2 linked regions of the Struthio camelus genome follow. The protein of the gene in region 1 interacts with the protein of each later gene in a pairwise test. Links are inferred from orthologs where the notes say so. Each region holds a gene or a part of one and is shown on either strand. Other genes may lie near its edges.

Region 1 (11,814 bases):
CAAGCAAGAGAAAGTGAAGAAAGGAAATCCTCTTAAGTGATCTTCATTTCCCTCAGTGCAAGATCACGTTTTTGTCATGTTTTGCATCCCCGAGTACTGCGGCACTTCAGGCTTTGTCTCAGAGGTGTCTCAGATGGCATGACTTGTCTGCAGATAGAGGGATTTGATCTCTTTAGCATTTTTCATCTGTTCTGTTCTCCACACCCTGCTTGCATTCAAGGAGTGACGTGACTTGTGCAGAGCTGGCCTAGTCTAGCTGAGCAGCTGCAGTCCTCTGCAGCAGGGCTTCCCTGGCCGAATCAACCTACATCTTCTCTCCTCAACAGGAGCATCGTCGATACCCCCAGCACCCCCACCGCCACCCCTGCCACCAGCAGCTCCTCCTCTGAACACGGAGGTGCCAATGCAGTCAAGCCCTCAGCCCGTTGTCAGTGCAAGCCGAGGAGCCTTGCTCAGCTCAATTCAAAACTTTCAGAAAGGAACTTTGAAGAAAACAGAGACATGCGACTACAGCGCTCCCCGGATCAGCTGAGGCTACTGGTTGCCCCACGATTGGATTCACCCTCCCCCTCCTGTGCTGTCCAGGAATGAGTTCTTCCTAGCCAGCAACGGATCCACCAGCAGATAGCAGCTAATCATGCTGTAGCTCTGTTTACCCCTATTTCAGCTTTCCTTGAGTAGCAGCACTAACCCATCTGATTTGCATTGCCATGCTGTGATATTAAAGAACTCCCCCCCCCCATTCTTATTAAAGAACTCTGTTTTCTAGCTACAGTTTCAGGGGTAAAGCAACTTCTATATAGCGGAATAAAAATCTGAAAATAGGACTGACCATGATCATGGTGAATTAATGCATTTTTTTCTAGTTCTCTTCCACCCCTTTTCTCAAAATACATAAATCTTAGTTTTAGTCAGCTCTAAGTTTTTCAACACCTCCATTCAGTTAACACATCTAATTCTTGCTGAATCAGCAAGGTTTTGTTTTAGATGATCAAAAAAAGCACTTAGTCTAAAGTGTACTGCACAGGTGAGGGAACTGGAGAATTAAATCTTATTTCCACCGTATTTGCTGGTGGAGTAAAAATGCTGTCTCTCATTACATTTGTTTAAATGGATATCCTACCTGTAACTCTAAGGGAAAGTTTTTAAATGAGGAAACAGTTGCAATGGGAGTTAATGGGGTATTGGGATATTGTTCATGGTTTAATTAAATACAAGGTTAATTCAAGTGAATTTTACAGTTTAAACTTTATTGAAAGATCCTTTTTGATTTGCTCAAAACCTTAAATAAATTGCACTTTAAAGGATTATAGATAATCCATTTTTAAATTCAAGTACATCAGTGTTTGTTACTATGCAGAGAATGTCTGTACAAAGTTTCATGTAACCTGTGATATTCAGTCATTTTTATTAAAATGTTAATGGAATTCCTCCAGCAGTGTGTTGGTGGGTGCATTCAGCTAGGATTTCACCTGCAAGCCAGACTTCCCAAGAATCTAATAACACTTCTGTCTACTAACGGGAAAATACAATGAAAGTTTAGTTCTGACAAGTTCCTGGCCTGCAACTGAAACAGGACCTGAGCTCTTCTGTTTACTTGCAAAGGTAAGCACTCCTCCCCAACAGCTAACTGTAAAAGGCAGTTTATCCTTGGTATAGAGAAGCCACACTGCACAGCTCCTGTAGGCAGCCTTCACTCTGTACCAGGCCAGTAACAGAAGCTACTTCACAAAAACCTAACAGAGCTCTTGTCAGGACCGGCCCCTTAACTAAACACAGGTGTGAGCTCATCTGCCTGAAGGCTACGGCAACTGTTTCCCACCTCTTGCATGAGGATTTATGTCTCCTACAAACTGTAGACAAAGGATGTACTACCCCTTCAGACCCAGGCATACTGGACCTCAGTAAAAAGACTTACTCTTTATTGTAAGAACTATAATTGAGAGTGCTGTTAGCCCCTGTGGCAAGTTTAACAATGCATACATCTTGGCAATTCAAAACACTTTTACTGCTTTAGGTGGTAACTAGTAAAGAAAAATTAGGTATTACTTTCCACCACAGACTGATCAGGATCTTTATTTAAGCCCTTGTGCAGAAGCTTTACTGCATGAGACAATAGTTCTCTTCAAGCTGAACATGTTGGCCATCTCTAACACATACCAGACTTCTAAAACCACTTTGTACAGATGCGCTTAAGTTGTCACATTGAAAAACAAGACTTAACTCACTCTGGTTTAATCATTCACCTTTAATAAGCCTTGCTAACACAGGCTTCAGGCCCCCCACTGCTCACTCCAGTTCTTCACCTGACCACCACCATAGTCAGTTGAACACCTCTAGTCTGATAATTATGAGACAAGCAGAAATAGAGGATTTATTCCTCACTCTGAATTTAGAATAGGATTTCTCCATATACAGTAACACCAATCCACTTGTACTGTTGAAGTACAAGCTGCCTTACAAATAAGCATTACCTCATCACTGCTTGGAAGTGTGGCTTAGAAGGTAACCCCATTACACAAAGCCATATAAATATTCTGGGAGGTCATATTTTTTCCACTGTACAAAAGTTGATGTAGCTATACAACAGTTATGCATTCAGCTTGCCATACAACATTAATGCTTTTTAAAGCAGAACTTTAAAATATGTATTTACAACTTAGATATTTAATGTTTTCTTTACTGCAAATATTATATCCTTCACTTGAGGTATGCAGTTATCCTCTAAAATTTTTGCATAAGGCATAGGAACATCTGCACCTGTAACACGGACAGCTGGAGCATCCAAGTAGTTAAAGGCAGGTCCTGAAACAGAAGACAGCTGTCAGTTTGCCACTTACTCTGGTTTTCTCTCAGTTCAATTTCTGAGTCCTAAACAATTTCCTTCTTATAGTTTTAAGATTTCAGAGCTAGCAGTTCCTGCTCGCTTGTCTTCATGCGCTAAGATTTAGATGCAAAGTTACTATCCCGCTTACTACACAGTCAGATTCTTAGGATAAGAATTATTCACAGCTGCTCTTCCATAGGCAAGATCCAGAGCAGCAGCAGACCAGCTTCTACCCTGTGACCATCTCTACAATGAGATGGCTAAGCTCCAGCTCCTCAGATAAAAGACCCCAACTTGACCTTATCTCATTATCTGCTCTTGGCTTTATCAAGCAGTTTATGAAAAAGTCATCAGGATTTAGACTTACAAATTAGATCAACAGGGATGTTGCAAAATTAAGTACCTTCCATGATCCTGGCACAGATTTCAGCTCCTACTCCAAACTGCGGCCAACCTCCTTCTACAGTTACAAGATGGTTTGTCTTTACAACGCTGGCTTCTATTGCTTCAATATCCATTGGTCGAATGCTACGCAGATTTATAACCTTAAAAGAAAGGGACTGAATCAGTTTTGCTATGATCTAAGCCTGTCAGTTACTACTGTTGGGTACCACGTCCTTTGTCACGTTCAGCTATTCTGACTTTGAGGATCAGACTTAAAAGTCAACAAAATTACAAACTTTTTATCCCAGCAGACTTTTTATGGAACTGTTTGTGATGGTTCCTGGAAAATCCCAGATAGATGAGTCTTGCTATATCTAGATCCAGCCATGCTGATTTATATAGTGTACTGTTCAGTGGACCTAGCTGTATGATAATAAGCAGAAGAGCTTTAAACATTAATTTTGTGATTAAAAGGTCAAATGCAGAAACACGAAACATGCTTGGTTCACTGATTATGAAGGCATTTACCAATGGGCCTGAACAAGACACGCTGCTTTTTTTCCAGTCCATGGAAAGGGGAAAGCAACAAAAAAATCCCTACACACCTCGCACTCTACACCTTCTTTGGCGAGTACAGCAGCGGCTTCCAAACAGTGTCCAACAGGTCTCGAGTGTGACACTAAAGTAACGTGAGTTCCTAGAACAGAAACGAGAGAGAGAGACTTAAACTTTTCCTCTAGCCCCCGTGCTCTTTTTAAGGTAATGTTAGGATTCTCTGGTAAATTTAAGTATTTAGCACTTAAAATAAATATAAGGAATTCTACAGCCACAGCGTGAAAAATGGCAGTGGAAGGACTATGTCAAGACACAAACTACACCCCTGAATTCAGGGACCTGAAGAGAGATCGAATATACTTCTTAGATTATTCCTTTTAAACCTTCAAGTAATTCAGTGTTAAATTATGAACAAGCTGAAAACCTACAGTGCTTTCCCTTGCATTTTTAGAAAAAAAACCCCAACAACTACTTTCTCAAGTGGAGAAAGAAGTTTTCCAGGCATTACCTAATCCATCCTTATAGAGAAAGGAAGTCTTTTGAAAGCAGGACAGCGGGACAAAGAATATCAAGTGATCTTACTTTATAAAGAGAACAGAAAAATACAGAGCCCATAGGATAAAATAACATTTAGCATTTGAAGTGTATTCCTGTTCCCTGTGAAAGTAGTGTTTTAAGTCGGTAAAAGTTTAAAAAAAAAAAAAATCTCCCCAAGCAGTTCAGTTAGTAAGAATATATTAACTGTGTTCTCAGCTTACCTTGCCTTTCTATTTTGGCTTTTCCAATTGGAACAACAAAATCCTTTGACTGTGCCTCTTCTGACAATTCAAAGGGAACACCATACAGCAGTTCATTCTCCAGCATCACAACTAGAACAAAACTTACTTGGATTATTTTGTAGTTCTACAGCACAGGCCTATACTGAGGATAATAGCACTAGAGCAGACTACCTCAACTAGGAGCTGAATATGTTTGTAGGGGGAGAAAAAAATCCCAGTTTTGACTTCACTACTGAATTATTTTAAATTTTAAATTAATTGATTAGAATTGGTCTTAAGCAGGACTGAGCATTTAGCTTGTGGTGCATAATGGTAATAGGTCTTAATACAAAATTTAAGGTCCTTAGAATTATTCTAAAAAAATCATGAGGATTGTGAATTAGGCAAACTAGGTTGATAAAGCTAACTGACGTACAAAGCCTCTGTTTTTTAAAAAAGATAATATTGTAAAGTTTATAGAACTGAATGTACAACTCCAACTAGATCAAATGAAAATGGGAGGGGTCATGGTCTAGAGACTGTTTTTGCAGAATTGCTAGTTTTAGAAAGGTCTTAGATTTTGCATGCATGCTTACGAGGAAGGAAAACTGAGGCTGCCCTGCTCTCAGAAAATGGCATGATATTCATAACATCTGAATTTCAAGATCTGTAAAAATGAGTTACGTACTCAGACACTATATATGCAGAACTCCTCCCTGACTGATTTTTATCCTCTTAAATTCCTTTATGACAGATTCCTAAATGTTTCTTCCCAGATTGGTACCGAATTAGGATTAAAGCACTAGCACAAAATTACAGTCTACTACTAGCAAGCCACATGATTCAGGAAAGTGTCAAGTATCAGAATCGATTCCTCTGTGCCTTTGCAAGTTACCTTAGAGTAAAGCAGTCCTAAGTGTTTTAGGGTTTTAAACTTTTTTTCTTTTTTTTTAAATGGGATGTGAGGGGAAACATGAAGAGACATTTTTTAAAAAAACTAATGCTAGCTGTTGCCATGATCTGAGTGTATTCACCTGGATTATCATCCCGGATTGATGCTTTAAGCAGACCTTTCGCATCTTCTGAGCTCCATGGACTAACAACTTTCAGTCCTGGACAGTGCCCATACCAAGCAGCAAAGCACTGCGAGTGCTGAGCAGCGACCCCAGCTGATGCCCCGTTGGGGCCCCTGAAGACGATGGGCACAGAGATCGATCCTGCAGACATGTAACAGGTCTTGGCAGCAGAGTTTATGACCTGATCAATTGCTTGCATGGAGAAGTTGAAAGTCATGAATTCACACACTGGCCTCAACCCAGCCTATTAAAGTCAGGATATATATTAGTGCCTTTTTACATAAAAAGAGCTTGTTTTAAAGAGTTTAATTCAGGAGTAAAGAAACTTAAATGTACAAACCATAGCAGCACCAACAGCAATTCCTGTGAAGCCCATCTTAAACAGAAAGAAACCAAGGGTAAGCCTTTGGGAGCAGCAGGCAGAAGGGCGAGCAGGGTAAGTGACAGGCGAAGCCGTACCTCCGATATCGGCGTGTCGATTATCCTCTTGTCCCCATACTTCTTCCAGAGGCCTCGGGAGATCTGCAGAGAGAGAGGAGAGAAGTCAGGGCCCGCAGGAGGGCCTCTCCCCGCCTCTTAGCTGCGGCCGCTCACCTTGTAAGCGCCATCGTACTGCGCCACCTCCTCGCCGAGCAGGAACACCCGCTCGTCCCGCTCCAGCTCCTCGTCCAGCGCCTGGTTCAGCGCGTCTCGCACCGTCACCTGCGGCACACGCACCCTAGCACAGCGGGGGCACCGCCCGCACCCCGGGGGGGGGTCACCCCTTCCTCCCCCTCCTCCTCCTCCTCCTCCTCCTCCCCGCCTCCCGCCGCCCCCCTCCCCGTACCTGCATGGCGGCCGGCGCCGAGAGCCGGATCCCCCTGCGCAGCTGCAGCAGCCGCCCGGCGGCGGGACCCTGCGGAGACAAGGGGGACGGTGAGAGCTGAGCGGCGGGCAAGGCGCGGCGGGGGCTGGGCCCGGCCCTACCTGCCGCCCGCCCGGCACCAGCCGCCGCAGCGCCCCCGCCGCCGCCGCCGCCATCTTGCCCGTGTCCTCTAGCGCCGAGGGGAGGGGGGGGGCAGGCCCGCGCGCCGCCAGTGACGTCGAGGCCCCGCCCCCTCGGCGCCCCGGCAACCGCCGCGCCCGCCCCGCGCTCTCGCGAGAACAGGGGCGCACCGCCCCTTCCGCTCCCCCGCGGCCGCCCGGCCCGTTGGGGCCAACCGCCGGCCCACCCTGCGTTTACGGGGCGGCGCAAGGGTCAAACTTGTGCGCGGGGGGGGGGGGCCGCCGGGACGGCTCCTGGCCCCACCGCCCCCTCCCTCGACCCGCCCCCTCCCTCCGCCCTGCCCCGAGCCGAAGCGCTCTGAGCGCTTTTACCCTCTCGCCCCACCGCCCCGCGGCCCCCGCTTGTGCCCAAGCTGCTTTCGCCCGCTTGCCCCAGCCGGGGGGCGGGGCCGCGAGAGGCGAGGGCGGGGCTTGCGGCGAGCCCCGCCCCTCCGCCCCGCCTCGCCCGCGGCGGCGGCTCAACTCCGGGCTCAACTCAGTCGTCCTCTCCCTGCCGCTGCCGCTGCCGCCGCCGCCGCCGGGCTCCGCCTCAGCGCTGGCAGCTGCGCCCGTGAGTGCCGCGCCGGCCGCCTGGGTCCTCGGGGGGGGGGGGCAGGACGCCTGGGCCCCGGGGCGGTGGGGCAGGCGCTGAGCGGGCTGTGGGCCCGGCTGGGGCAGGGGCCCGCCGTGCCGTCGGCCGGGGGGGGGGCCGGGGGCCGGGCCGCGGCCCGGCGGGAAGGAGGAAAGGCTGGGGCGGAAGGCGAGGAGCGCGGGTCTGTGTCTGGCGGCTGCTGTGCTGAATCACCCTCGTGTCGGCGGCAGTTTCGCTGCCGCAGTCTCGCCGTGATGGAAGGTGGCACTTCCCAGGCTCCTCCTGTGCAGGCCCGGGCCCCTCTCAGGGAGGGAGGGAGGGAGGTGCCACCATCCTGCCCTGGCTGCTGGGGCCCCGCGCTTGGTCCGGCCCTGGTGCGCAGGGGAGCTCTGCCTCTCCGACAGCTGCCCTGCCCCGGGGCCGTTTGGAGCCGCGGCCCCCCGAGCAAGCACCTGCGAGTGGATGTTCCACGGAAGCAGAAGCACACGGCTGCACCCCGCCCCGTTGTGGCGGGCGGCGAGGAGCGCGCTGGCGCGGCGGGTTTCAGCAGCGCGGGGCCGGCAGGGACGGGCCCGATACGGGTCTCTTCTCTTGGCCCTCGTCGTGAGGTGAGGGCGAAGCGGTGGCGTGGCGTGGGCTTTTCAAGGAACGAGCGGTTACGAGGAAAGTTTGGGAGCTGGACCTGAAACAGGATGTTGTGGAGCTCCTCAGCGGAGGGAAGAAAACTTTGGGAGCTTGGAGTTTGTAGTGAAGCAATTAGACATAAGGCAATGAAATGCCGAGTGGCTAGCGCGAGCGTTTTATTCTTCTGCCTGAGTTGAGGTGTAAGTATACTAAAAAGAAACTAAGGAAAAACAAGATTACATTAGTTTATAATGAACTGCCTTAGTCATTATAAGTTTGATGTGTTTAGAAGGCGATGGGTGCCTCCTTGAGTGAAGCAAATCTGTTGAATTACCAGAGCAGTTGGTAACTTGTTTTAAGACAACATGTCCTCCTCGCTCTTTCTCGGCTAAGGCAGTGTGGTGCTGTATCATCATGGTCTCGCTCTATAGACTGTGGTCTCACTGCACGGTTTTGTGGAGTAGAGTCATTGCTTGTTCTAGTTTAGTTTTTGTCAGTTCACGTGTCTCTGTGATAAGAGATTTACCGTAAAAACTCTCCTGTCAAACTCTGTAACTGGATCAGGAGCAGGGAGATTGTTCACAGATGTAACGTAACTGTGCTCAGAGCTGGAGTTCTGGTTCTCATCCTTGGAGATCTAAATGTCAGAGACAAGGATCTCACTGAGTGGGTGTGAGTAGCTTCAAAGACTGAGTATGTTTATCTGTACAAGTACAGAGCTAGCTTTGCTCCTTTTAATTTTTTAAGTTGCTGTTTGTGCAATTCCTGTCAACTTTGTCTCGACCTAGAAATCGAAGATGCCTACTGAGGTTAAACAGTTTGTCCTACAACACTGGTACCAAATCGTCCATTGAAGACTAGAACTAAAAGCGAGTCTTTTAATTCCTTTGTTAGAAAACCTGGATGAAAAACATTTAGAGCAGACCAGGTGGTGCCTGCCTCTTGACTTCTAAGCATTAGGTATATTTCTACTCCTCCTCCATGTAACTGCATGTGATAAAAATGCTGTCATTTTCTCCAGGAGCAGTGTGATAACCTATTCCCTTGACCCAATGCAGTATACACAGTGCTAGCAGCAAAAAGGCTTGGCGATGCCGCTGGCTTCCCCTGGGTCTGAGTTGGACCCACGTGTGTGTTTTCACAGATGCAGACCTTCAGCTGACTCTCACTTGCTTTTTCTGAATCTCAGCCTGCAAAATGGTTGCATGCTAGTAGCTGTCTTCATGGGAGAAGCCTTAATCAAGTTAATGGGACTACTGTTGCAGTAATGTTGCTAGTAAATAGCCTTGTAATCCTCTGAGTCATAAAATATTAAATAAGACTGAGAGTTCTATAAATGCAGGTCCCCCATTCAGTATATTGAGCATGACACGATGACTTGAGGGCTTTTCATCAAAGGCGCTTGCCTCTCGTTGTTACTTTCTAGTTTTGGATGCGCTCAATGCTGCGATAAAATGAGATGACCGTATTAACACTGTCTTATCTTCTCCTCACCCCCTAAAAGAGCTTAAGGAAAGTAGGACTGTGGTTTGACTCAGTCAGTGCACTTCTGCTCTCACCAAAGAGCAATATTCTGTTTGGCTTATATGGTGTCAGCAGTTTACCTGGCTAAATTTCATCTCAAATGAATATTTCTTATGATTATTAAACACAGGCTGTGTTGGGATACGCGTGCGTCTCGTCTCTTCTTTGCTGTCTGGACGCAGGCTGGCCTCCTTAGATCATCTGTTTGCGTTGTGCGTCTCGCTGCGATGCTAGCTTTGCCAGGTACGTCTGTGCGTGTCTAGTGATTCTGGACTCTTATACAAAGATCAATGAGGCTTCTAGATGCCACTTATTTATTGAAGGCTGGGGTTGTTTCAGCTAATTGTTCTCATAAATTATTTGCTCCAGTGTTATGCAGTGATGCTGTGATCAAACATTAGCTCCTGTCTTCATACTGACAGGCAGATGTAATTTGTTTCTTTTCCTGAATGATAACTGATAAAGAACGTCTTGACTGATCTGTACTGGGGACTCAGATGCTGGCCAAAATAGCACAGTATTCATCCAATCATTTAAATAACTCTGATGGATATCCGTCTTTCAAATACTCTGAATGTAATTTCTAGTTAACTTAATATTAAGACTGCAGCTCTATTCGCTTATGATAATCAGTGGAATTTCTGGATGGCTGCATTGTTTTACCTTCAAGCGAATGTTTTACATGAACACCAGAAACCTACTCCAGTCTCTCTCATGGTTTTACTGCTTCTGCATGCTATGTCGGGGTTGTACTTGATCAAAATAACAACTGCAAGTGCACTTTTCCCTGGAAATTAAAAAGAATTTAAAAGGTCTGAGCTAATGATAAAAGCTAATGATTTGTACTTGTATAACAATGCAAAATAAAGAAAAACCTGAATAAATTCACTTCTTGGTATGTCAGCAGTAATAAAAAAAAAAATTATAGAAGTTGGCAAAAGAGCTAGAATTCCAGGTTTACCTACTGTCAGGGAGGCATCATTTAATATACGTTCTCGAGGCATGCTCCATCTCTTAATTTGTAAAAATAGGATGGTGGTATGACTAGTTCTGTATCTTAATTCCTTAGTCTTCTGTTGTCTGACCTCACAATTTCATATGCTGGTTTTATTTTTTCTTCTCTTGATGTGTCTGAAATGCAGTTGAGGCTGTGTACCTGCTGCTGGCCCCCAAAGGCCTGACCTTTTGAAAGCCGTTCTGCTTAAACTCAGAGTTTGGGCATGGTGGCAGAGTCCAGAGAGGTGGGATATGTCGCATTGTACTGCGGTGAATGATACTGACCTTGTTTGCCAGGAATGAGAAGGGCAAATAATTTTTTGTTCAAAATTAGCTGTGAACCTTTAATTATTTGAGAAGGTAGTACTCCATCTTGGCTTCACCTTCATACGTCTCTTTGCTGGGTGACTGCAGGTTGAAGTATGTTAGTAAAGAGGTTGGTCTCTACTTGCAAGCAGAAGTCTTGGTAAATGTGTAGTCTTTAAGATATAAAAAATAAAATCCAAAAAGCTGCACCCCGCTCAAAACACTGTCCTAAATTTTCAGTGATTCTAGCAGAGATGCAGACTCCTGTATAGGGAATAAAGGCTAACTGGCAACTGGCTTCTCTCTCTGTGCATCACTCAACACACGGTCCACAGGCCCCCTTGGGAAAGCCTGTGCTGGTGTCTGGAGTTGCTCGTTCCCCCACGCCGAGTTGCATAAACCAGGGTGTGGAATTCCCCTTGCTGCCCTCGGTGGAGGGAGTCCCCCTGATATGTCAGTCAGTGGTTCAGCATCTTCTAGGAAGTTTCGGCATGAACCACTTCTCGATTTGCTTTTGTTGGAGCGTTGTTGAAAGTGTGCTTGATATCCTTTTGCTTGTCCCTAAAGAGATTTCTTTCGAGAGTTTGTATGTGCCTGTGAAATACATTTGTGCTCCTTCTCTGTAGATTAATGTTCTTCCTATCAACTGCAGTTCTCCGCTATTAAATTATTAACTCCACAGTGAGATTCTTTTTTCATATTGTTCATGACTTTCATGCTTGATTTATTCTTCTGCATAGTCTGAAACTGGACTATGGGAATTCTGACTAGTATTACTGGATCACAAGTATGACCTCAATGCAGGCTAAATAAAGTTTTTAATTGGGAGAAGGACATCTGTCTTTCCAAGCGAGAGGTAGTCCATTTGTGAGCATAAATTATCCTTAAAGACACGTTGCTTGTTATTTAACAAAACTGGGCTGGATGGAACAGCCGGTGAAGTGATTACAGTGTGCTCTGGAGAAAGTCCTGTGGGTAGCGTGAAGGGAGATGCAGGGAAATGCTTGTTTGTAGATTCTTCCGCTAATGCGGCTTTGAAGCTGAATGCAAGACATGCTTCCCTGGCAAAGAGGCCGCTTTTGACTAGAGAGCGTTCCCCTCAGTTGTTCTTGTAGGTACTTATAGTCTGCCATGTTTTGTCCTTTGTTT
Region 2 (11,308 bases), on another chromosome or scaffold:
ATCTCCCTGTGAGACCCAGGGTCCCCTATCCCCCATGGGTCCCATATCCCCCTGTGATCCCCAGGGTCCCCTATCCCCCATGGGTCCCCTATCCCCCTGTGATCCCCAGGGTCCCCTATCCCCCATGGGTCCCATATCCCCCTGTGATCTGCCCATGGGTCCCCTATCCCCCTGTGATCTGCCCATGGGTCCCCTATCCCCAAGGGGTCCCCTATCCCCCTGTGAGACCCTGGGTCCCATATCCCTCCCAGGGCTCCCACATCCTCTGGCAAGCCCCAGGGTCTCGTATCCCCCCCAGGGGTCCCGCATCCCCCCGGGTTTGTACCCATCCACCAGGCCCTGCTGGCCGATGAGGCGCTGGGTGTCCTCGCGGGAGATGCGCCCGTGGAACCAGGGCTGGGTGCGGTGGATGGCTGCGGGGAGACGGGCTTTACGCACGGGGGCCTTGGGGCAGCCCGGCACCCCGGTGTGGGCACCCGCAGCCGCTGGGGGTGCCGGACCCCCCCTGGGCGGGGATGCGGGACTCCTGCAGCCCGGCGGGGTGGGATGGGACCCCAGGGCCGGGCGCTGCTCACCGACGCTGAGCGGCGAGGTCTGGCAGGCCGCCGGCAGGCTGAACCGGTGCGTCGTCTTCTTCTGGCAGTGCAAAGCCAGGAGCGGGTGTTAGCGGGGGGCTGGGGCCCCAGGGCGACCCCTCCCATATCCCCCGTCCCCCTGGACTCACCCGCCAGGCCTGCGCCTCCTCCAGGGCCGCCGTCAGCACCTCGCTGGGGTTCTCGATCACCCGGCCCGTGCACCCCGAGAAGTCCATGGCCACCAGCGCGTTGTCCGACACGCTCCGCTGCGGGGGGCGGCGAGAGCTGGGGGGAGCCGGGCCGGGCCGGCAGCACCCCGGGGGTCGGGAGCCCCAACGCGGGGCGGCCGGGGGGCCGAGGGGCCGGGCACTCACCAGGGGCGTGGGGCCGATGCAGGGGGGCTGGCTGAGCCGGGCCTGCGCCTGCTGGTAGTTGCGGTAGAGCTGCATGCCGTACTGCGGGGAGAGCACTGTGAGCCGGGCCGGCCCCGCAGGGGTGCCTGCCCGGCACGGGGACGGGGACATCCGTCCAGCATCCCTCGGGAATAGGGATGGAGACATCCATCCGGCATCCCTTGGGGATGGGGACCTTCATCTGGCTTGGGGATGTGAGCATCCAACCAGCATCCCTCCAAAACAGGGATGGGGACAGCCATGCAGCATCCCTGGGGGACAGGGATGGGGACATCTGTCCAGCATCCCTCCAAAACAGGGATGGGGACAGCCATGCAGCATCCCTTGTGGGGGACAGGGATGGGGACATCTGTCCAGCATCCCTGCAAAGCAGGGATGGGAATATCCATGCAGCATCCCTTGTGGGGGACAGGGATGGGGACGTCTATCCAGCATCTCTTGGGAACAGGGATGGGGACATCTGTCCAGCATCCCTTAGGAATAGGGATGGGAATATCCATGCAGCATCCCTTGGGGACAGGGAAGGGGACATCTGTCCAGCATCCCTTGGGGACAGGGATAGGGACCTCCATCCAGCATCCCTTAGGGACGAGGATGGGGACCTCCATCCAGCATCCCTTAGGGACGAGGATGGGGACCTCCGTCCAGCATCCCTTAAGGACAGGGATGGGGACAGCCGTCCAGCATCCACCCTGACATCCATCCGGCATCCCTTGAGGACAGGGACCTTCATCCGGCACAGGGCCGGGGGGCGAGCAGCCACCCCGCACGCCTCCGCCATGGGGCCGGGCTCACCTTGAAGAGGCGGAAAGCCGCCATCCAGCACGTCCGGCTCTGCTCATCCTCGCTGCACAGGAGCTTCAGGCCCTTCGTGCCGCTCCGCACCTTGTAGGGCTGCCAGGAGAGGCCAGCGCTGTCACGGGGCAGCCCCAGCAGGGTCCTCAGCCCCCCGCGTGGGGGGACCTGGTGCTGAGACCCCCTAGAGGAGCTGGGTCAAAACCCAGGAGTCCTGGTGCCTAGTCCCAGCCCCCAGACTCGGAAAGGGGACCCAGGCATCTGGGTGCTCCCTGCTCTATCCGGCGTGCCCCCGCCGGGTGGGTAGAGGGGGCCCCCCACCTTGATGCAGAAGCCGAACTCGGTGGGCGTCCCGTAGTGCTTCTTGCCCTGCGTCACGTAGTAGACGTTGGACTCGGTGAGGTCGGCGAAATACTGCAGGTGCCGGGGGTCCTGGGGGGCCGGGGAGGGGGCGTCAGGCGGGTGCCGGCGAGCGGGGCGGCCCTGCGGGGTGGGTCCTGGGGCTCGCACCCGCCGTCCCCGCGGCCTCACCTTGGACGTGCCCTTGGTGGAGTAGTAGAGCCCCGAGCGGCGCAGGGAGAAGTAGAAGCGCTTCCAGACCTTGCGCCCGCCCTCGCGCAGCTGCAGGAAGCCCTGGACCTCGGGGCAGCTCCCGGAGTTGAGGAAGTTCTGGGGAGAGACGAGGGGTGACGGCGGGGTCCCCCCCGGCCCGGCGAGCCCCCGTGGCGTGGTGGCCCCCTACCTGGATGAGCTCCGAGTGCGCCATGCTCTTGTTGGCCTCCAGGCAGCTGGACACCATCACCTCCGGGAAGAGGGACTGCTGGGGGGGGACAGGGGCATCAGTGGAGACGGATGGGGCGTTTGGGGCTCCCACGGGGTGCCCGGGTCCCCATGGAGCACCCTGGGGTGCCTGGGTCCCTGTGGGGTGTTCAGGTCCCCATGGGACCTCCTGGTCTCTATGGGACGTCCCAGTCCCCATCGGGCATCCATCTCCCCACGGAGTGCCCAGGTCCCCGTGGGGTGTCTGGGTCCCTGCGGGGCATCCTGGTCCCCGTGGGGTGCCGGGTGCCGGTGGCGTTTGCCGCCGCGGCCGCTTACCCCGTTGCTCTTGAAGAGCTCGTACTTGGCGAAGTTCTTGCGGAAGACGAAGCGGCTGTCGGCGCCCAGGGGCCACGTTCCCTGCACCTCCACCACCGACTCGTGGTCCTCGAGGCACCGCTCTGCGGGGCGCGGGGCTCAGCGCCGGCTCACCGCCCGCCGTGCCCGGCGCCGTGCCCACCCCTCGGCCCCGCGGCCGCCGCGCCAGGCCGCGCCGTCGCCGCTCACCCAGGGCCAGCTGCTGGTGCAGCTCCACCAGGGCCCAGCTGTGGTCGTGCAGCGCCTGCGCCCGCTGCACCAGCATCTCGCAGAGCTGCCGCGCCGTGGTGCCCGCCGACGCCTCCAGCGAGCGGCACGCGCCGTCCTCGCTGAACACCTTCACCACCTGCGGGGACGCGCCGGGGACGTGCTCAGGGTCCCCCGGCGCCCGGGGCCCCCAGTTGCCTCCTGCCAGCCCCTCTCCCGTGGGGATGGGGCAGAGCTGGGGGTCCCTCGCTGGTCGTGGGTGGCACCTGGAGAGGTTTCACCTCCCGAGGACCCCAGCGTCCGAGTGCACCCCTCACGGCTGCACTACCGCCGTGTCCCCCACCCATGGGGTCCCCCAGGACGCCTGGGCCCCCTCCCCATTTCCCTCCCTCTCCTGGGGACGAAAATAGCGGCAAGGATGTGCCCGGCGCTAGCAGCACTGCAGGGGACCCAGTCCCTCCCCTAGCTCCCCCATGGTCCATCCCCACCAGCAAGCCCTGGCCCCCCCCACCGTGATGAGTGCATCAGGCCTCAGCCCCAGCGCCATCCTGCCCCAAGCCACAGCCAGGAAGGGACCCGGGGTAGGACAACTGCGGGGTGCCCGGGAGACTCACGTGGGAGGCGCCTTCGCGGGGGGGCCCCTGCCCCACGGCGGGGCTGCTCAGGATGGGGGAGTTGGAGGGGCTGCAGAGCTCGGGGAAGGGGTTGGGGATGCAGGGCAGCGACGAGGCGCGCGGCTCCTCCAGCGCCGGCTTCCGGCTGCGGGCGCAGAGGGGCTGAGGGCGCCGGGGCCGCGGCAGCTCCCGGCCCCCCGGCCCGCTCCTGCCTCCCTCCACCTGCACTCCAACCCCCCACTGCCCCGGGTGGACCCAGGCGTCCGGGACCCCCCACCGACCTGCCGGCGTGGATGAAGAGGGGCTGGGAGCGCTTGACGTCGGCGGCGGGCGGCCCCTCGCCCGCGTCCCGCTCGCCAGGCAGGCTGGCGGCCCCCTCCTGCTCCGCGCCGCCCGCCCCGGGGGGCTCCAGGGGGCTGCTCGGCTCAGCCCCCCCGTCCATGGCATTATCTGGGGGCAGAGAGGGGGAGGTCCTGTAGCTGAACGCCGCCCCGAGCCCCGGCCAGGCCCGGACGCCTGGGTCCTCGCACCAGCTTGGGGGCCGGAGAGCGGGCTCTGGAGTTTTGGGCTGCGGGCACGGCAGGAGCCGGCGGGGGTCCCGCCACGCCACGTGCACCCCGCCAGCCGCCGGCCCCGCCGCTGCCCGGGGCAGCCCGCCCTGGCACCCGCCTGGGCAGTGTTTTTCCCCGGCGCCCAGACAAGCGGTGAGTCAGCGTGCGGCGAGGTGACTCAGCATGGCCCCACCTGCCCCCGCGGCTCGCTCCTGCCCCGCTGCGACGGGCACCCGGCCTGCTCCCGGCCCACGTCCCCGGCCCTGGGCTGGGGGTGTCGCGGGAGGGCCGAGGCCGGGGGTGTCCGCGGGGCTGTGCCCCGGCGCTGCAGCCGGTGCCTGAGCTCCGTCCCAGCTGGAGATCTGCCTCCGCGGTGCGCCAGGGCTCAGCCTGCCGCCTCCGATGCCTCCGAGGCCTCTTCCCCGCTGTCCCTGGGGACCAGCCCCCCCCCCCCCCCCAGCAGCGAACGGGGCAGCAGAGGGGCAGGGACACAGCCCCAAAGCCTCACCCCGCACATCCCGCCAGTCTCTCCCCATTCAAGCTGAGACCCAGCCAGCTCGTGGCAGGAGTGGGCCTGGCCCCAGGGAGGCCGCTCCCTCCGTGCTGCAGGGATCCAGTCCGGCTCTTGCAGGCTGCGGGTGCCCAGGTGCCTGGGTGAAGGGGGCAGCACCTGGCTGGGTCTCCAGGAAACCCCGGCCCGGATCAGGGTGCTGGGAATGGAGCTCGGCGGGTCCCTGGGGGACCCCGGCGGGGGGTCGCGCAGCCGGACACCAGCCAGCTCTGCACTTCAGCCCGCGGGAGCCGGCCAGAGGGAGGCACCCGGCCGCCAGCTGCCTCCACAGGCCACGAGCGATGGGCAAGAGCCAGGCCTGCACCTCGCGCTGCGCCCAGGGGTGGTGGCGTCTCCGCCGGGTCTCCCGCTGTCCCTCCTGCCCCAGCCCCGATCACTTTAGGACCCAAATCAGCCTCAAACACCCACGTGCTTCCAGGAAGAGGCAGCCGGGGAGACGGGGCGCGCGTGCCCCCCTGCCAGCACAACCTCGTACGAGACGCCCGAGAATCCCTGGCCGCCCACGCGCTGCCCCACCCTGGGAGCCGCTTCCCGGTGGCGGCAGCCGACCGCGGCCCCCCAGGACGAATCCCCCAAAATCGCCACCGGGCGCCCTGACACCCCCAGCTCCGCCGCTGGGCTTTGCTGGGAGGCGGTGGTGAGCCGAGCCGAGCCGAGCTGGGCTGAGCCAAACCGGGCTGGGCTGAACCGGGCTGAACTGAGCTAAAATGAGCCCGGCCGGGCTGAGCCGAGCTGAGTTGAGCCAGGCTGAGCTAAGTCGAGCTGGGGCCAAGCAAGGATGAGCCATGCCGAGCCCGAGCGAGCCAAACCGAGCCGTGCAGGGCCGAGCTGAGCCAAACTGGGCTGAGCTGAGCTGGGCTGGGCTGAGCTGGGCTGGGCTGAGCTGAACCAGGCCAAGGAGAGACAAGTTAAGCCAGATGGAGCTGAGCCGAGCTGTGCCGGGCTGAGCTGAGCAGAGCGGAGCCGGGCTGGACCAAGCAGGCTGGGCTGCACTGCACCGGGCCGAGCCGAGCCGAGCCGAGGTGGGCCAGGCAGAGCCAGACCAAGTAGTGCCAGGTGGAGCTGAGCTGAGCCGAGCTGAGCTGAGCCGAGCTGAGCCGAGCTGGCCGAGCAGCGCCAGGCGGAGCTGAGCCGAGCCGAGCCGAGCTGAGCTGAGCTGGCCGAGCAGTGCCAGGTGGAGCTGAGCTGAGCTGAGCCGAGCTGAGCCGAGCCGAGCTGGCCGAAGCAGCGCCCAGCGGAGCTGAGCCGAGCGGAGCCGAGCTGAGCCGAGCCGAGCCGAGCCGGCCGAGCAGTGCCAGGCGGAGCTGAGCTGAGCCGAGCCGAGCCGAGCTGAGCCGAGCCGGCCAAGCAGCGCCAGGCGGAGCTGAGCCGAGCCAAGCTGAGCCGAGCTGGCCGAGCAGTGCCAGGCAGAGCTGAGCCGAGCCGAGCTGAGCCGAGCTGAGCTGGCCGAGCAGCGCCCAGCGGAGCTGAGCTGAGCCGAGCCGGCCGAGCAGCGCCAGGCGGAGCTGAGCCGAGCCGAGCCGAGCTGAACCGAGCTGAGCCGAGCTGGCCGAGCAGCGCCCAGCGGAGCTGAGCTGAGCCGAGCCGGCCGAGCAGCGCCAGGTGGAGCTGAGCCGAGCCGAGCCGAGCTGAGCCGAGCTGGCTGAGCAGCACCAGGCGGAGCTGAGCCGAGCCGAGCCGAGCTGAGCCGAGCCGAGCAGCGCCCGGCGGAGCGGCGGCGGCGGTGGCGGCGGCAGGAGGAAGCGGAGCCTCGCAGCCCAGCCCAGACACCTCCTCGCGTCCGGCCAAACCAGTTCTGGCGGCCGCTCCCAGCTCCACCTCAGCGCGCTGGCATCCGGGCCGGGGCCGGCAGCGCCGCGGGGCCGGGGGCCCGCGCCCGCCGCGGGAACGGCGCCGAGCCGGCCGGGGCCACGCTGCGCCATCCCCGGCCTCTCGCCCTTTCGGCCCCAAAGCAGGGAGACGGTTCCCGGCAGCGGGTGGGCAGGCGGCCGCGCGGCCCCTGGCTTGGCCCAGCCCGTCCGGCGCGGCCGGCCGGCACGCAGCACGCGTACCGTGCCAGAGCACGGTGACTCGCCGGCCGCCAGCAGGCTCGGACGCCCCGCGGGACCCCTCTGGCCCCGGCACGGGCACCGCCGGCCCCGCCACCCGCCCGCCGGCTTAATCATTCACCGGCGCCGGCAGCCTGCGGCCCCCGCCTCCCGCCAGCCCGCTCGGGGTCCAAGTCCACGGCCACGCCAGGGCCGATGCGGTCCGGGCTGCTGCGACGTCCCCGTCCCCATCCCGATGTGACATCCCTGTCCCCATCCCGGTGTGACGTCCCCATCCCAGTGTGCCACCCCGTCTCTGTCCCGCTGTGATGTCCCCATCCCGGTGTGACGTCCCCATCCCCATCCTGGTGTGACGCCCTGTCCGTGGCCCGTCCCAGCCGGGGTAACGGGGGTGGGGGGGGGCCGTGCAAGGGGGATGGGGGACATGGGGGCAGGGGGGACACTGCAGGGAGTGGCACAATTCCGCTGCCGACCTGCCAGCCTCTCACCGTGGCCTCAGGCCACCCTGATGCCGGCCTTGGCCCTGCAGCCCAACACCCCCAGCTGTGATGGTGGTGATGGTGGGGGGGGAAACATGGGGTGTCCTGGGGTTGGGACACACAGGGGACCAGGTCCATGGGGCTCTGGGGCAAGGGGACCAGGGCCACCAGGACTATGGGGCAGGGGTCCAGGACCACCAGGGCCATGGGGCAGGGGATCAGGGACCATCAAGGCCCCACATCGGGGGTCCAGGGCTCTGGGGGCCCCAGGGCCAGGGGGTGTCAAGGTGCAGGGGCAGGGTGGCGGCGAGGCCGAGCCGGGCAGGAGAGGAGGAGGAGGAAGAGCGGGGAGGAAGGAGGGCCGGGGAGGGGAGGCCAGCAGAGCTGGGCCCCGGCGTCCGGGGCGTCGCGAGGTGCCGGGGCCCCGCGCGGGGCCCCCCGGGCCGGCTCCTACCTGCAGGCGCCCGCCGTCCGCCGCCCGCCCGCCGCGCTGGGCATTCCTGTTTTCCCCAGCCTTTATCTACCTGCGCCAGCTCCCGCCCCCGCCTGACATCACGCCGCCCGGCCGCCGCGCCGTGGGGCGCCCGCCGTGGGGCGCCGCGCCCAGGGCCCCCGCCCGCCACCCTGGGGTGCCCCGGCCCCGCGCTCCTCGCCACCCCCCCCACCGTGATGGGGAGTTTCCCACAACGCCCCGGGGCAGGCCCCCCCCCTCCCCCAGGACCAACACGGCGAAGCCCAGGTGGGAACCCAGGTGTCCGGGCCCCCCAGGGTGCTGGGTGCAGCTCGGGGGGCCTGGGGAGAGCCTGGGGGGCTGGGGCGGGCCCCACAGTGTGGGGGGGGATGTGGAACGGGGATGTGGGGGACCTGCTAGGACATGGGGGACCCAGAAGGTCCCCTGGGGGCTGTGAGGGGGGTGTGGGGCTCCTATGGCTGCTATAGGGCTCCCAAAGGTGCTACAGGGCTCCCATGGGTGCTATAGGGCTCCTGAGGGTACTGTGGGGCTCCCGTTGGTACCATGAGGTTCCTGTGGGTGCTATGGGGATCCCGTGGGTGCTGTGGGGCTCCTGCGGGTGCTAGATGGCTCCCATGGATGCTTTGGGGCTCTCATGGGTGTCATGGGGCTCCCGTGGGTGTTATAGGGCTCCTGTGGGTGCCATGGGGCTCCCATAGGTGATATAGAGCTCCTGTGGGTACTTTGGGGCTCCCGTGGGTGCTATAGGACTCTCGTGGGTGCCATGGGACTCCCATAGGTGTTACAGGGCTCCCATGGGTGTTTTGGGACTCCCACAGGTGCTGTGGGGCTCCCATGGGTGCCATGGAGCTCCTGTAGGTGTTACAGGGCTCTCTTGGGTGCTCTAGGGCTCCTGTGGGTGCTCTGGGGCTCCTGCAGGGGTCATGGTGCTCCCACAGCTGTTACAGGGCTCCCATGAGTGCTTTGCGGCTCCTGTGGGTGTGCTGGGACTCCTGTGGGTACCATGGGGCTCCCGTGGGTGTTACAGGGCTCCCATGGGTGTCATAAGGCCCCCTTGGGTGCTCTACAGCTCCCATGGGTGCTCTGGGGCCCCCTTGGGTGCTCTAGGGCTCCCGTGGGTGCTGTGCAGCTCACGTAGGTGTTACAGGGCTCCCGTGGGTGCCGTGGGGCTCCAGGAGGTGTTACAGGGCTCCCATAGCTGCTCTGAGGCTCTGGGGCTCCTGTGGGTGCTTTGGGGCTTCCGTGGGTACTGTGAGGTTCCCGTGGGTGTTACAGGGCTCCAGTGGGTGCCGTGGGGCTTCAGTGGGTGCTCTAGGAATCCCGTGGGTGCAGTGGGCCCCCTTGGGTGCCGTGGGGCTCCCGTGGGTGCTCTAGGGTTCCAGTGGGTGCCGTGGGGCTCCAATAAGTGTTACAGGGCTCCCATGGGTGCTCTGGGACCCCCTTGGGTGCTATAGAGCTCCCGCGGGTGCTCTAGGACTCTCGTGGGTGCCGTGAGGCTCCCGCGGGGTCCCCGTCGGGCCGCAGCCGCCGCTGCGCGCTCCTCCCGCCGGCAGGGGGCGGGCGCGGCCGGCGCCGAGCGGAGCAGACGAGAGGGCGGGGCAGAGAGGCCGGAAGCGCCGCGCTCACGTGGGCGTCACCCGGAAGCGGGCGGCAGCCGGTGGCGGCCGGGGCGGCCATGAGCGGCGGGGCCGAGGCCGGGACTGAGGCGGCGGCGGCGGCGACGACCGGGGCCGGGCAGCGGGTCCGCATCGTGGTGGAGTACTGGTGAGTGCTCGGGGGCCGGCGGAGAGGCCTCTGCGGGGCGGCGGGAAGCGGGTGATTTGGGGGAGCCGGAGGGGGCTGAGGGGCCTTTCGGGGTGTGAGGGGGGGGGCTGGGGCGGTGCGGAGGAGCCGGAGCGGGGGGCTGGTAGCAGGGTTTGGGGGGGCCTTTCAGGGCTGGGGGGGTCGGAGCTGGAGGGGGGGCTGGGGGAGTGCAGGGGGGTTTGGGGGGCTGAGGGGCTTTTTAGGGGTGGGGGCCTGGGGGGGGCTCAGAGGGGTTGGAGGGGTTTGGGGAGGGGGCGCGGGGGGCCGGCAGCGCAGGGGAGGTGGATGCTGGCTTGGGGGGCTGTCAGGAGGTTGTTGGGGTTGGGGGCGACGGGGTGGGGGGTGCTGTCGGGGTGCCCCTTGCTCCCCACTCCCGCAGCCGTGCCCCTGTTCCTGACCCCGGTTCTCCCCCTGCTGCACCCAGTGAGCCCTGCGGGTTCGAGCCCACGTACCAGGAGCTGGCGAGCGCCGTGAAGGAGGAGTACCCCGACATCGAGATCGAGTCCCGGCTCGGGGGCACAGGTACGGCCCTGCGCTCGCCCTTCCGTGGGGCTGTGGCGAGCGCCACGCGTTTGTCCACCGCTGCTCTTACAGTAGTTTTGGCCCTGTCACAGTCTGCAGTCTCGTAGCCCCATCCCTCGGTAACGTGTGGGGAGAGTGGAGGGGCTGAACGGGTTTAACGCTAGGGGTGAAGATGGGTCTCTGATTTTGAGCTGTGCGTCGAGGCTCCTGGGGCGGTTTGTGCATTGCTTGCACGATAGCTGCACGTCATGGGGGATGTCCCTGCCCCTCACCCCGGTCTTTGGGGACGCAGAGGCTTTCAGGAGCCTGTGGGTCTGCCCGGAGCAAGGCAGAAGCCCTCATATCTCTCTGGGGGCTGCTGCCCTGTGCTCTGCCTCCTGCTGGCCCAGTCCTGCCGTGGAGGGTATGTTCTGGCAGGTCTGGAGATAACCTGGTCCCAGCTGCGGTGTTTCTGCCTCTCAGACGCTTGTTGCAGTGACAGGAACGGTTACGGGACTGGTGTGGGGTTTAACAGCACAGTGTGGGGCAGCAGCACGGCTTACAGCTCGGCTCTGCGTGTTTTCAAGGTGCCTTTGAGATTGAAATCAATGGGCAGCTGGTCTTCTCCAAGTTGGAGAACGGAGGCTTTCCCTACGAGAAGGATGTAAGTACCGGGGCCCAGCAAGCTCCTTGCGTCAGCCGGTTTGGATGGGCCCTAGAGGGAGGCTTGTTTTTGCAGCAAGGTCTCCTGTGACCGGTTTTTCCCTTTTGAGGCTTCTCCGTGTCTCCGTTTCATCACCTGTGAGTTCTGCGGAGCATGGGGAAGCCTCACGTTCCCACCACGCTTCGATCCCACCTGCATCCCCCGGCAGCAGCCGCTCCGGGTGTGAGCCTGAGCTGCCGCTCACGCAGGGGAAGGTTCCTGGGGCTCCTCTCTTGTCCCTTCAGCCCGGTGGTTGGCGCTGGGGCCGACGTGGCGTCTGCTGCGCTTTGGGCATTTGAGTGCTGCAGGCCGCTGCGGCCCCCTGCGAAGCGCCTGTCTGCGACGCAAGCCGGGCTGCTGCTCGAGGCTGGCTGGTGAGCGCGACCCCTTCCCCTCTGTCTCCTCAGCTGATCGAAGCGATTCGCAGAGCTAGGAATGG

The links.
Region 2: the proteins of KCTD6 (region 1) and GRB7 interact in binary tests that used the Homo sapiens proteins (3 or more experiments, as listed by UniProt). The two-hybrid records come from large-scale screens. The link is inferred for Struthio camelus from reciprocal best matches to the Homo sapiens genes KCTD6 and GRB7.

Annotation. Positions count from the first base shown.
Region 1 is NC_090955.1:10,377,247-10,389,060, forward strand, and holds the start of KCTD6 (BTB/POZ domain-containing protein KCTD6), read left to right. Parts: upstream 1-6,929; 5' UTR 6,930-7,194; intron 7,195-7,346; exon of another isoform or gene 7,347-7,823; intron 7,824-8,733; exon of another isoform or gene 8,734-8,799; intron 8,800-9,493; 5' UTR 9,494-9,606; intron 9,607-9,615; exon of another isoform or gene 9,616-11,814. Other genes in the region: PXK (PX domain-containing protein kinase-like protein), read left to right, coding at 327-532; PDHB (pyruvate dehydrogenase E1 component subunit beta, mitochondrial), read right to left, coding at 2,660-2,805, 3,231-3,372, 3,817-3,908, 4,525-4,635, 5,559-5,844, 5,941-5,976, 6,060-6,122, 6,195-6,302 and 2 more. UniProt on the Homo sapiens protein: Probable substrate-specific adapter of a BCR (BTB-CUL3-RBX1) E3 ubiquitin-protein ligase complex mediating the ubiquitination and subsequent proteasomal degradation of target proteins.
Region 2 is NC_090966.1:6,643,875-6,655,182, reverse strand, and holds the start of GRB7 (growth factor receptor-bound protein 7), read right to left. Parts: upstream 5,924-11,308; 5' UTR 4,829-5,923; coding exon 4,801-4,828; intron 4,192-4,800; coding exon 4,023-4,191; intron 3,887-4,022; coding exon 3,742-3,886; intron 3,267-3,741; coding exon 3,110-3,266; intron 3,004-3,109; coding exon 2,882-3,003; intron 2,604-2,881; coding exon 2,526-2,603; intron 2,453-2,525; coding exon 2,315-2,452; intron 2,216-2,314; coding exon 2,105-2,215; intron 1,883-2,104; coding exon 1,784-1,882; intron 1,031-1,783; coding exon 950-1,030; intron 842-949; coding exon 725-841; intron 637-724; coding exon 576-636; intron 414-575; coding exon 326-413; intron 1-325. Other genes in the region: MIEN1 (migration and invasion enhancer 1), read left to right, coding at 9,538-9,626, 10,090-10,187, 10,754-10,830, 10,940-11,056. UniProt on the Homo sapiens protein: Adapter protein that interacts with the cytoplasmic domain of numerous receptor kinases and modulates down-stream signaling. Promotes activation of down-stream protein kinases, including STAT3, AKT1, MAPK1 and/or MAPK3. Promotes activation of HRAS.